2 linked regions of the Drosophila melanogaster genome follow. Changing the gene in region 2 together with the main gene of any one other region gives a genetic interaction. Each region holds a gene or a part of one and is shown on either strand. Other genes may lie near its edges.

Region 1 (6,751 bases), on a different chromosome or scaffold from region 2:
AACTTACATATATGTATTGCTTTTTAATACTATATTATACTATTATAAGATAAACAAGAAATATTGGAAACTATGATTACAAGAACTCCACATGCACTGGCATTGTGATCTCCTTTTGAGCTCCTCACAACCCAATGATTCTCCCTGTGTAGCTTCTTCCGAACTCGACTGAGCTAAGCTCGGCTCGTCCGTTTGCAATCTGCGTCCAAAGGGCCGGCTTTCGATGCAGCAGCCTCGTGAGCCAACTGCAGGTCTGGCCTCCCCATCCTCCACATTCTGCCTCCGAGGAGGCAAGGCCAACGCATGTCGGCCAACCGATGATTTCGCTCTTGCCTTGGCTTTTGGCATCGGACGAGGATGTGGATGTGGTGCTTTGCACGGCTTTGGTTTTGGTTTTGGTTTGCCACGAGCCTAACACACGCCGTCCACATCGTCGAGGTTCCGACACTTGATTCTGGATTGTGCTGAGGATCTTGGCCACGTTATGAACATTTACATTTATCTTGCCAATCAATTTGGTTTTGTTTGGACTTTTTAATTTCCTCTCCGCAAATGAAATCAATTTTGATGCGTGCATATGCAATTCCAGTTTCCTCCGAGGATGTATCTGCATGTCTGTGGAAGCGGAAATGCCTTCCAGCGGATGCAAAGGACTCGGAATTATCTCGCCCGCACTGGCGAAATAATAAATATGATATGCGAATATGCAAATATGAACACGGATCGGTCTTACACTCTGATCCTATCGAAATTGTTTCATTCATCTTATTGCGAGTTTCCTCTAGTTCCATTTATATAATTTACTTTTAATCAAGACTATAGTATTCCTGCATCTGGAAGTGGGGGAAAGTTTAATGGCGCTTATTCATTTCTTTATGCAATCCCTAGCCCTGCGCACAATTACCATACCAACATGCCTCGCAATCCTACAAAGTGCACATTGTAAATTGGAACAATTATTCTAAATTATAAAGAAATTATTCAATAAATCATAAGGGAAGCCATCAATCAGGCTTTGAGCCCGAACCTCTTGGATGAAACGGAGTTTGGCTAATAAATAAGCCCAATGCTGAATACTTTTTGATATTTGGGAGCTGGGCTATGGGAACTTTTCTGCCAGTCTGTATGGCATTCTTTTTTTAGTTGGCGATCGCACGCAAATTGACGATGCGTTGCGCTTCAATCTCATAAATTATTTTGGCAACGCATCACGCGAGTGTCCCAGTGGGATCTTACCTGATTTGGGAGTCTTCGGAGTGCCAGGGACAGGTCCAGGACCAGTACCAGGACCAGCCAAACCAAACCAAACCAAAACCAAAGCTAATGCCAACACACTCGACATGCCCACTTTGCTGGCGGGACTCGGATTTTTGTGGGCGATGACTTTTGGTCTACCTCTTCGCTGTGTTTTTGTTTTGATCTTTGGCCCTTGCCCCGCAAATTGCCCTATTTTTTTATCGGGCATCGAAAAAGTTCTTGGAAGCAAGAACACCATATAATTTCGCTAATTAAATGGGGGAGCGTGTACCCACGCATTTCAAGAATTCCTCCATATTCGCATTTGAATTTTGACCACTGACGTCTGATCACTCCCACCGCCGTCACTTTTTGCTCTCTGCCTCGAAATCGTGAGTGCATTAAATGTAGGACCTTTTTTACTTTCAGATACGGTTTCCCTCCCATAACGCACATATTTGAAACAGCCAAACCGCTTAATTTGAGGCTTATGTCTGATGATACAAATACTAATACTAAGAGTACAAATCTTATAGAGACTTTAATCGAAATAACATAGAAAGCATAACATGGCTTTCTCTCTTGGATTTACATTTACAGTTATAGATATTATAAACGATCAAAGACTGTAAATATTGTACGATAAATTTGTATATGAAATTTAAAAGAAGATTAAAAAGATTTCAAGAATCATTACTCTAAAAACAGTGGACTTCATACACATACATATACATATGCTAGCTACAGTTTTAAGGTTCGTCTTTCCGACGGCTACTTTTGCCGTCTTAAAAAATAAATGATTCCAAATTGCCCGTTCAAAAAACAGAATAAAATTAAAAATGAGTGCAACTAACATTGCATCCTTTAAGGGTATGTTTCTCAATTACAAGTAAATAAAATAAGTTAACAGACCCATTGGCTTTTTCAATAAGATTTTATATTCTTTAGTCTTGTCGCCCTATAATATTTGAATAGAGAATTGCATTTAGTAAAGAGTTTTCAGCCCAAGAAAACCTATAAGGATACTGGGAAACTAAAATTAATACTTTGATACTGATCGAACATTACCTAATCTGAATACGAATATGCACATTTGATTTCGATTTGGTCCATTTGTGTCCAATGCATCTCGACTAGGATAACAAAAAAAGCAAACTGACTTCTTGAATGTCTGATTACCATAAACAAACACCGTTTGTATTCAGGTTTTAGATCCTGACTTTAATAAAATTTTTAAATAGACTCCTTGAGGTTTAAGACTGCCTACTTTAAAAAGTCAATTTAAATTTGAAGATGCATTTTCAAGGTTTAAGACCTCTAATTACAAGAGAATTGCATGCGCCTGTGATCGCAGTCTGCTTTCGGGGCCCCACACCCTCTTGGGCACTTGAGTGATCCCCGGACTCTTGGAGTGGGCACAATCAGGTTGAAGTTTATGTACTTATTATTCCCAGAGCAGAGTGTGCCACACGGAGTCGCAGGAGAACCCATTACTGTAAATTGCTCATTGATTTTGCTGCTAGAATGGCCCGGAATGGTAATCAGCTTGTGTGTGAATGTGAATCACGGGCGCAGATCTCTCGGTCCGGATCGCTGGCCAATGGTCGTAATTGGCCAATGGTTTTAAGGCTTGCGTGCCCCAAAATGCCCAAAGAAATTTCAGTGTCAATCAAGCTCGTCCGCCCATGGGCACTCGATGGTTCAATATCTTTGAGTATTTTGAGTAGCTAAAGCTGCGCCGATGCTCGGGCGGGGATTAGCCTGGGCAGATTTCGGCTGACAGACAATTTGGATAGATAGACCCGACCCTCCTCCGATCGAAGTATCCTGCAAAAGGCGCGCAGCTTACCATCATGAACTTCTGATCCTCGAACTGATGGTCGTTGGTGCGGTGTAGAATGTGCATGTTGATCCAAATTAGACGGCGATATCAACTAGTTGGAGAGCATAGGTTTTCTTTTGAACACTTGGGCCAGGGCCAATGCAAAACAGGTACGATCACTAAATAAGTATTTATTGAAAATCGATTTTTGGCACTGGTTAAGGCAACTGTGGGTGCTGGAGCTAGAGTTCCGTATCCGCCGCTATATACACTGCACTCTCCCCGATTGAAGGACAATAGACGTGATTTAATTGTATTTGAACTAATTTGCAGTTCGGATCCACGATCGTTTCGGTTCGGCTAGGTGCGGATCGGTTCGGAACGGAACGGAGCGGTTTCGGTACGGTTTTGGTTCGGTACGGTTCGGTTTGGTTTGGTTTGGTTAATTAAGCGAGGACCCGCAATCGAAATTCCGCCTTTGCGCAGCCACCAGACGTAGTTCTCGACTGAAGTTGGATTTTCTGGTTGGACGCAAAAACCTTCGGGGGATGTGCGATGTTGCCGCTGCTGCTGCGGCGGCGGCTGCTGCTGCTGCTGCTGCAGATGCTGCTGCTGCCGCGGCTGCTGCCGTTTTTTCTCCCATACAGCTGCGAAATACATAGGAAAAGTGCCCAAAGCCTATGCCCGTGCGCCGCGCGTCTGTATGGGTGTGAGGCGCACACAGATACGCCGGGCAAGCAGGTTTTCTGGCTTTCGGGCATCGAAGAGCGGCTTCCGAAGAGAGCCCGCCGCCCAAAGAGAGCACAGCCATTTATATTTCGGAAGCCACGCCCCGCCAGCGGACTACTAGACAATGGGCCGAGCCCGAAAACCGAAAACCCAGAGGCTGCGGCAGGCAGCGCAGCTCGCGTACAGACACACAGATGCGGATACACAGCCACACTGCCAGATGCGGATGCTCGCGAGATGCGAGTGCGATACGGATACGAATACGAATACATAGGGGTGGAATCGCATGCGAATGGCCGGGGTTGGCGACGCACCCGTGCCCCGAGGGTTGCTGGATCTCTGAGCCCGGGCTGCTACTGGGAAAACCCCGGCATTGGACGCCCAAATCGCCAGTGGTACGTGCTCCGGGTTCTTTCTTCTCTCGGGGATTAAGCGACCCACCTATGTATGTATGTATCTACGTACTTATCGAACGTTCGGGGGTTGCCATGTGAAAGAGGCTGTCCGCCCGATTTACATATTCTACATAAAAATCTACCCATATATGTAAGGGCGTGAGTGTGGGTCCTTGCTCGCCATAATCAAAACAAACTGAAAATAGCAGATTTTTATTTTTTCTATGGCTGTAGCTTTCGAACATTTGAGGGTAAAATTTTTGTAAACGATTAAACAAACGGAAAATCAACAGCAGGCCACTTCGCATGCTTAAAGATTTCTAATTTACAAATTCCCTTTTATATATAACACGATAGAGGAACTTAGGACAATTAAAGCACTCTTTAAAATTAAAGGTTCACTATAAACAAACTATTTTGGCTTGCCAATGAACTTATAACAAGCAAACTTCTTACTTGTGTCCCGCTTTAATAACCTTTATCTAAATAGTATAGTTAGTTTTACAACGATTATAATTAAAAAAATCGAAACAAATCAGAAAATTAATTTAAGGACAGGTGCTTCACAACTTCAAATCAGGAACACTATTATGTTTCACTAACTTCAGAGCTATAGAAGTTACCCATTCTGATGTTTTTTAAAATTAAATATTGATAGTTAACTAATTAGTCAATTATTTGTTAGATTTTTATAAGTACTTCATGAAACAATTATAATAATAACAAAAGTCAACGACTTTTCATATGCGAAGCCATAAAAATATAGTAATAGAGATGAAAATAAGGAAAAATTTTGGATGGCAAGAAAATCGATTATATGATATTGTTAAGGCATCGAAATACTTTTTGCAAACTTTAGTTCATTACTCAAACTCATGAATATAGCAATAAGGTAATGAAACATACTGAAAATTCTTATTCGTCAATATTGTTTTGTGTCAAACTATCCAAAAATATGGACTTTGCAAAAAAAGTTTAATCAATTAACATAAAATACAACCATTGCCACCGTTTAGACCAGCAGACCTTTTTATAAGTTACATGTGTTAGTAGGCCATAGAAATCAACAAAGTTGGTTAAAGTGTGAAAGTTGGGTTAAAAAGGCGCTGACTTAGATAAGTCTTGAGCACCAGGAATAAATCTTTAGTATCAACGTGGTGTTCTGTATGAATCTCCATCATTTGAATTCCTTGTTCTATTAACCACGCTGAAAAGCTGAAAGTAAGCGTCGCAATCCTCAAGAGACATTCATTTCATTTATTCCTGCTTTGTTTTCAGGTTACACAATTAGATCCGCCAGTAAGCGGGACAAGGATTAGCGGCTGTGGAAAATTGAATCACTCGGCGGATTGCCCAACCCGAGCTTTGAATGTTTGTCCGCCCCAATTGAATTATGCCATTAGCTTTCTAAGTGACTCAAATGGATTCGGGCTCCTATCTTCTGTTGCCAGGGGAGCAGAGCAAAGTTCAGCCGAGAAAGAAGGAGCGAAGCTCGGAGGAAAAGTATATCGGGCACGCAGTCATTAAGTCCGAATTTGTGGCAGGGCGAAATGAGATGTGAAACCGTGATCTCGCCGACTGCACATGCACATTATGTACGCGGAGCCACTCACGAAGCCACCTCGGAGGAGCTGGCCAAACAGTAAATTTCGTGGAGTGGAGTGCAGTGGAGTGGAAGCGGCGATCAGGTGCATTATCCAATTGCGGCGGTGGAATGCCGGACGACCCACCTCCATTTCAGCGATTTCATTGCGGCGGCACGACTTTTGATTGCGGCCACGACAAGAGAACGATCGATCGATCCATCCATCCATCGATCGATCGATCGATGATCGGTCCGCCATTTTCAGACCCGATTCGGATGCCGAGGCAAAGCCAAAACCGATACTGATACGGATACTGATACTGATGCACTGCTCGCATTACCAATTAATTCCCAGTCCTCCCCGCAGCACCGGGCATAAATCGTGATGCACAGTGGTCCGTGTGCCCATGGTAAATGCACCCAAGTACACCTCTGTGCAACTACCAACTACCGACCCGCACACCTACACCATTGCAGCCACAATTACATCCACGTCCTCATCCACATCCACATCCCAACCCATACCAGTGCACTCCCGAAAATGGCAGCTTTCTTTGAGCCAGTCATAAGCTGGCTCTTAACCGGGAGGCTCCTAACCCAAGAGCCGAGGAGCTGGGGATCGCAACTGCCCAAGAGTGGAGGACTCGGCCTGAGCACCTCATTTAAGATGCGTCTTAAATGCGATCGCCGGGGGGAAACTCGTGAATGCCGCAGGACTTGCATGACTACTGCCCAGACTTGTGGCTTCGTGGCACTTACTCCGACTTCAAGCGACTCCTTTAGCGGCAAGCCGCTCTTTTTGGTCCGCCTTGCCGGCCGCAGACAAGTGCATTCCATTTCAATCCATTCCACATGCAAATCACAATCAGCTCTCGAGTGGTGATTTTCCGAAAATTTTAACAGACGATGTGCAACCAAAAATGTAATTAGATTGTAGCATGGGAAATAATGTTGAAAGGTATTTACTTTCTTAGGCAATTCAAC
Region 2 (6,751 bases):
GGGGGACATCTCTATATGGTCGATTTTCTATAATTGTAAATATCAAAGCCTGTTTGTTTTTGTTGCCCTTGGCCATGTGTATGCCTGTGTGTGGGTGCATGTACAGCTGACACCAGTGTGTTGGTGCGACTGCCTCTGTGTGCGTGAGCGGGTGTACGAGTGTGCGTGTTGGTGTTAATGACAAAGCATAGAACGCTGCGCCCCGCGGCCAAACGAAATGAAACTTTGTGCGGCATCAGCTCCAGAGACTTTGAAGAAGCAGAAGCAGAACCAGAACCGCCGGCATCGCCATCGGCAACGGCAACGGCAACGGCGGTACGAAGCACGAAGAACGGAGCATTGGGGCGCTGAGCTGAGCCCGCCTGGAATGCCCCGGGGTCGTTCGAGGAGCGACTGCGACGGAGGCAGCTGAAATATTTTGCTGCCCGGCGGCAATGCAAAGAAAAACTTGTGATAAATACGCCCCAGGCCATGTTTCAAAACACAAGCTGAATGGAGGCGGCGAGGGGTGTGCGGAATGCGGAGACGACGGAGCTGAGCGAGTACAGTGAGGCCTGCAGTTAGGCAGCTGTAATTAAAATGAGTGCGAACTTTCCACCCCCGCCCGCTGGAGAACGCAACGCCCGCGGGGGTGGTGGCCAAAATTCCGCCCAAGCCGAGAGTTCTGTCGCATCATTTTTCATTGGCAATTGTTTCGGAATGCTCGCTTATTTGTCCCCCGGCCATATTCATTTTGAAGTACATGCGCCACAATAATATTTCGCTATATTTCCAGAATCGGCGATCTGCCATAGAGATGGTGTACCGTGTGTCTGAATGCCAGCTTAAAGCAGGTAAGCAAAAAAAAAAAATATATATATATATATAAGGAAGGGATTTTCTTTATATCTTTTTACACGATAGCCTTTAAACGTTTTAGCTTACTACTTTTTTTATATAAATTAGGGACACACACACGTAAATTGCGAGGAGCCAACTGCAAATAATACCGGCATTAAAGTGTTCAATAAAACATGTCAAATTTTAATTGTTTCGCGTGAGCAGTGGCATTTCAATTTTTCATCCTTTATCGCAGCAAATGCGTACGACGAGTGGAAACTGTTGCAATTTTATCGCTCATTTCACTCACTCAAATGGAATGGGAAATGCTGTGGGGGGTTGTTGGGGGGGGGCTTTTATTGTTTCAAGCGGCAAAATGGGGTAGCGGGCTTCTTTATTTTGACGTCGCTTTGCGTTTTTGCCATTTTAAATATTTTTTTAATCACAAGCTCACGCACACACACACATACACACGTACACAGAGAGAGAGGCAGAGTCGTACGTATTCAGTCACTCATACACAAGCTCATACATATGGCAATACCAATATTTCAAGCCAATTTGCTGCAGCTAGCCGCCAGCGGACTGCCAACAAAATAATTCGACAAAATGTGTGCGGCGCGCTTTATGCTTTATTGTTTGGATCGCTTGGGGGCAGTGCAGTGGGGTGGGCGGGCGAAGTGGGGGGTAGGTGTATATGGGTGCAAGGAGTCACATACATCAAGTACATATGTATATACATATATATAGATATATATAGAAAGATATATATTGTAGTAAAAGAGAATCCGCGGATCAGCTCAGAAATCAGCGTCGACATTTATACACTTCCTACGCGCTCGTTTGTAATTATTTGTTGATGGCTTTTTAAAGTAGCCCGCTCGCCACGCCCTCCCGCGGGCATACCGCCCACTCGCCTGCATATTTATTCAACGCTTGTGCATTTGCTTGTCAATCAATATCATACTGAATGCTGAATGGGAAAACACAAACATTTAAATGCCATCGCATATGCTGAGAATTTCCGCAGATTTTTTTACGCCACCCGCGACCGCCAACACCATCAGCATCAGCATCATCATTATTGTGATTTTTTATTATTACTATTATTTATGTGAGCACACACTCATCATCACAAGGCTGGGCAAATGGCAAATGTGTATGATGGGCTTTAAAATATACGAGTATGTATATATGTATATGTGTGGATGGGTGCGCACACATACAAGCGAACATATATTTTTTATTATTAACGATACCCAGCGAGGAAGCAACAAAAACATATATAGCATACCCATATATACACAAGCATATATATGAAAAGGCTCATAAAATTCACAATGTCTGGCCGCGGGGCTTTTACTTAATGATGCCATTTTTGCCGCCGCAGCCTGAAATTCGTGTTAAATTTTTAACGCACGACCGAACTGCAGCGGCAGTGGCAGCAAGCGCGACCACATATCAACCATCACAGCAATTCGGGCATCCATCCGTCCACCCATCCACCCATCCACCTATCAAAATATCCACCCATCCACCCATTCACCCATCAATTCATCCATATGTGGCACAACATTTACATTAACATTTGAATGGTAATCATTTTACAGGCAATGCGTGCCAAAATGAGGTGTTTGTTTAGCTTTTAAAGCTGTGTCCTTTTTATCACTCGCTGTCCTTTAAATTGATTAAATTATCAATAGAAGAATAACCACTGAATATCCTTTTGGTCCTTCATATTATGCCATTTATGCTAAGCTTACGTTTTTGGGAATTTGTTATATTCTAAAGGATTTGGCTTTGATTTAAAAATATGTTTCGATCGAAATGCCATAATGCAGTTGACATTATTTCAATTGTTTCAGTTTGACCCAAAATACTTTTAATGCACCATTTAATTCTAATGCAATACTTAAGTGCCTTAAAGCCCATACAAAAAGGTGGGTATAAAATGCATTAAACAAACTATAATCTGCCCAAAAGGAAAAATAAATATATATGATGGAGTGACTAAATAAAATATGGTTGTTTAACACAGGATTAATATTTATTCATGCAACGTATTTGGTAAATTGTGCTGAATTGTATTTGTTGCTTTATGTTTATTAGTTTGTTTACCAATTTCTTGGGGTCGGTGAAAGCTGGACTCTCGCAAATGAGAGTGCCTTTCAATTGAGGGGGCAAAAGTGGAACGGAAAGGGGCCTCTTCTGGAGTCGATTGCCGACATCCTTTTGTCATTAGCAATGCGTGACATTTGTCATTAACTGCATAATGATTCCTATGCAGTTTGGCCAACTTCTCCAACCAAACCCAACACACACACACACACACAGTCTAGCATATTGTACATAATAAGTGTGTGCGGATGTGAGGCATGTGTGTGTGTGTGTGCATAATTTTAATGATTTACAAACTAAGCCGGCGGCGTTTTTAGCTCGAAAACTGACAGTTGATACCCAGAGACAAGCAGAATGAGGGAAATATAACGCAAAAGAAGATATAGCCGCGAGTTATGAATGGGAGAGGACCAGTTCTTTATTTCCAGCTTCTTGGGGTGGAACGAGCGAACGGAACGGAAAGGATTGCTCGAACATGCAACTAAGATGGCCTAAGGACATTCAGAGGCAGAGGCACTGGCTGAGGCAGTGGCAGAGGTAATGCCGTAGAATGGGCAAAAATATGCAAGTTAAAAATAAGTTAAGTTTGAGTGGCTGGCGGCCCTGACGCAGCGTTTTGCATATAATGAGGGTACCAGCGCCCAGCTTTTTCACACTGCTTGTCACCTGCTGCCGGACTTTGTACATATGTATGTATGTGTATTTTTGTGCATTGGTATGTATGTAGATGAATTTTGGGGGACAAAAAAAAAACTGTGATTCTTTGGCCAGTTAGTTGGTAGCTGGTTGTGGGTAATTATAGGCAAACGGCACCGGCACTCGGTGTTGTTCTTAAATTATATGCCACTCATCTCTGTTTTCTGTTATCCTGCGCTGCAGCTGCCCCGCCCACTAATGTGGACACCCGGCCAGTTGTCCAAACACGTGCCGTGCAACAAGTTACCAGGCTGGGCGAAAACAAACGCAAAAAAGCATGTGGCAATAGCCAGAGACACTGTTATTCACCTGCTGCCGTTGTCGAAGGCAAAAGCAAACACCATCGGCACAAACACACTGAACCACCGTTGAGAAAAGACTGTTTTGGGGGGGCTCGTTGGGGTCTAAGTGCCGAGTGCCGTCGAGCGTGTTGCATGCAACATGGGGCACGACGCCAGCCGCAGCAGCAGCAGCAGCAGCAGCAGCAACATCTGGCGCAGCAGCGACGGCGGCAGCAGCAAAACGGGATGTTATCAGCCGCAACGTAAACACAACCACCACAACTAAGTATCCATATCCGCAGCAGGCGACTTCGATCGCCCGTCCAACTGGCCCGTTCCCTCCAACCCCCTTCCATGCACTGAAAGAAAAAACTATCTAAAAGCGTCTGTTTGTAACTGGCAGTCCATCTTGGACAGCAGTTGGTCTCAACTCTTTCAAATTTGCTCTCAGTGAAATACTTTAATTTCCTATCTAAGCAGCCGACTTTTGTTCCAGTGTGGTTGTTAGCCAAGCTAAGCTCGCGATGCGATGCCAATGTTCGACGCCGGAGCTCCAGCTTCGGTTCACCTTCCTCCTCGCCTTGCCCGCGGGCGTTCGCTTGTAATTATAATATTTCAACCCAAATGTGACCCGGGGCCATGCGCCAATGATGGATTTCAGCTCTCTGGTCCGCTCCGCTCCCCTTTCCCCTTCCTGTACCCAGCATATAATGTGGCATATATATATATATATATATATACATATTTATATATACACCGAAGAAAGACCGACACCCGAGATGCGGAGAGGTGCGTCGTGTGGTTCCGGGGTGGCTGATGTTGCTGCTGTTGCTGTGCAATTTGGTGCCGGCGGGCAAAGCGGATTGGCCTGCGGCCAGACATGTGAATAAAATTACATTCACTATTTTATATGCCACATGGCTTGTTGTATGTATGGCATTTATCGGTGTTTATATGTTTTGCCGGTGCCATGTGGAAAAATCCTATGTAGGTAGAAATAATTGAATTGGCACATCAGCTAAATCACTCTCGTCCATGTTTATATGTGTATGTCTTTATGGGTATGCCGGCCTGGAACCGGAGACGGCGGTCAGGGCAATAACAAGATTAGATCACTGGAAGAAGAGATTGCCCCCGGCCGGCAGGCAATGGAAAAGGGTTGAGCGAAAACTAAGCTGCCACTGACAATCTACAAAGCGAGGTCCGAATGGCTGCTACGAATAGTAAGTCCCCCTTCCGAGTCCATCGTTCGATTTAAGTTTTCCTCGGAACACACAGGCAGGTGAACATTAATCAAGCCAAACAACCAAATAACTTATGGCCCTGGCTAATAGAGACATTCGGCCAACTTCGAGGCCAGAAACAAGTCGGCCGAAGCTCTGGCCGAAACTATAAACCAGTGCTCACTTAGATAAACAAGATATGTGGGAGCAATTAGTGTTTATTAATGGTGATTTTCGAGATATTTGAATTTTTGGAAAATTGCATTTCAAATGGTAGAAAGAAAAGCAATTTGCATGAATACCTAGCATTCAAGACTTTAAATATTTGTATAATACTAATTAGCTATGAAAAACTTGTATATTTTTAACATATCCGATTGATTAAGATATACAACAAGTAAGCCTTTAATTCACTTACAAAGTGTGAGAGAATTCTATGCGGTAAGTGCGGCTTTTAAGTGCCACACAACGGTAAGTAGTAGCCCATAAATGCGTCCACTTTCATGTGTGTGTGCGTGTGTGTGTGTGGCGTGGTAATTAAATTGGCATTAATTAAACTTACGTCGCTTCTGTCGACGGCGCTGCTCAAGTGCCGCTCATTAAGCAATTAAGGGATAATTATCAACGCCGCGCCGTTGCCTTTTTGCAATTTTCATGCGCAAAGTGTTAAAATCACTTAATAGGCGGCCACATCCTGGCCTTCTGCTGTTGTTGTTGTCCTTACTTCCGCCGCCATTCGTGTGCGTGTGTGTGTGAGTGTGCAAGTGTGCGTAAGCGGTTGCATGTGTACGATGTTTGTGGACGCACGCGGCTGTTTGTTTAAGTGTAGCGTTAAACGCGGCCACTGACAAGCTGCGAATGCCGCACACCTGTAAGCAATGCCATCGCCGTGTGCCGTGTGTGTGGCATGTTGGGCCAACAACAACAGCCGCAGCAGCAATAACTAATGGGTCCTCCGATTCTGTGAGCCATAAGCTCGTATTAATGCAGTTATAAGTGCAATGCTCACCCATACACATGCACGCACACACACAGTCACACCTGCACTCACACCTGCAAGCTAGCCACATACATACTGACACTTTGACTGACAACAAACCAAACAGGAGCAACAGCAGCAACATCAGCAGTTAAGCGACCGCCAACAGCCAACTGGCGAGTCAGTCAGTCAGTAAAGCAATTTACAGACATCTGTTACACGTGAGGAGTAACCACCCACTACCACGCACACACACACACACTCAACCAAACTCACACACACGAAAACGAACTGCATTCGAGCATTTAGGCGAAGGGGACGGCAGGTGAAAGGGTTGGGGATTTTTGTGGGGAAAAATCGTGCAGAATGCGTGTGAGCCACACAATTAAACGGAAGCCGCGACCAGTCCACTGAATTGAATCAGTTGTTCAGCAAATGGAGGAGCCACTGTAGTGCGGCAGATAGTTTGTAATTGTTTTGCTCACTTTTTGGCCCAAAAGGGAAACAGTTAAACGCCGACGATTAAGATCTTCAAATGGGGTGAGCTTTTTAAATCCCAGTTGGGAAAGAAGTTTATATGCTTGCTATACTTGAGCAATAAGTTTATTAAAAATCAGCAAGAATGAAAATAAGCA

What was found.
Region 1: of twz (region 2) and TfAP-2, changing one suppresses a phenotype caused by changing the other (phenotypic suppression), as found in Drosophila melanogaster (2 studies listed by BioGRID).

What each region holds. Positions count from the first base shown.
Region 1 is NT_037436.4:21,595,673-21,602,423, reverse strand, and holds the start of TfAP-2 (transcription factor AP-2), read right to left. Parts: upstream 3,569-6,751; 5' UTR 3,143-3,568; coding exon 3,086-3,142; intron 1-3,085.
Region 2 is NT_033778.4:21,572,040-21,578,790, forward strand, and holds the start of twz (tiwaz), read right to left. Parts: upstream 3,997-6,751; 5' UTR 3,943-3,996; intron 1-3,942. UniProt on the Drosophila melanogaster protein: Functions with the transcription factor TfAP-2 to regulate octopamine neuronal signaling pathways that control behaviors such as male aggression, male mating, and the initiation of feeding.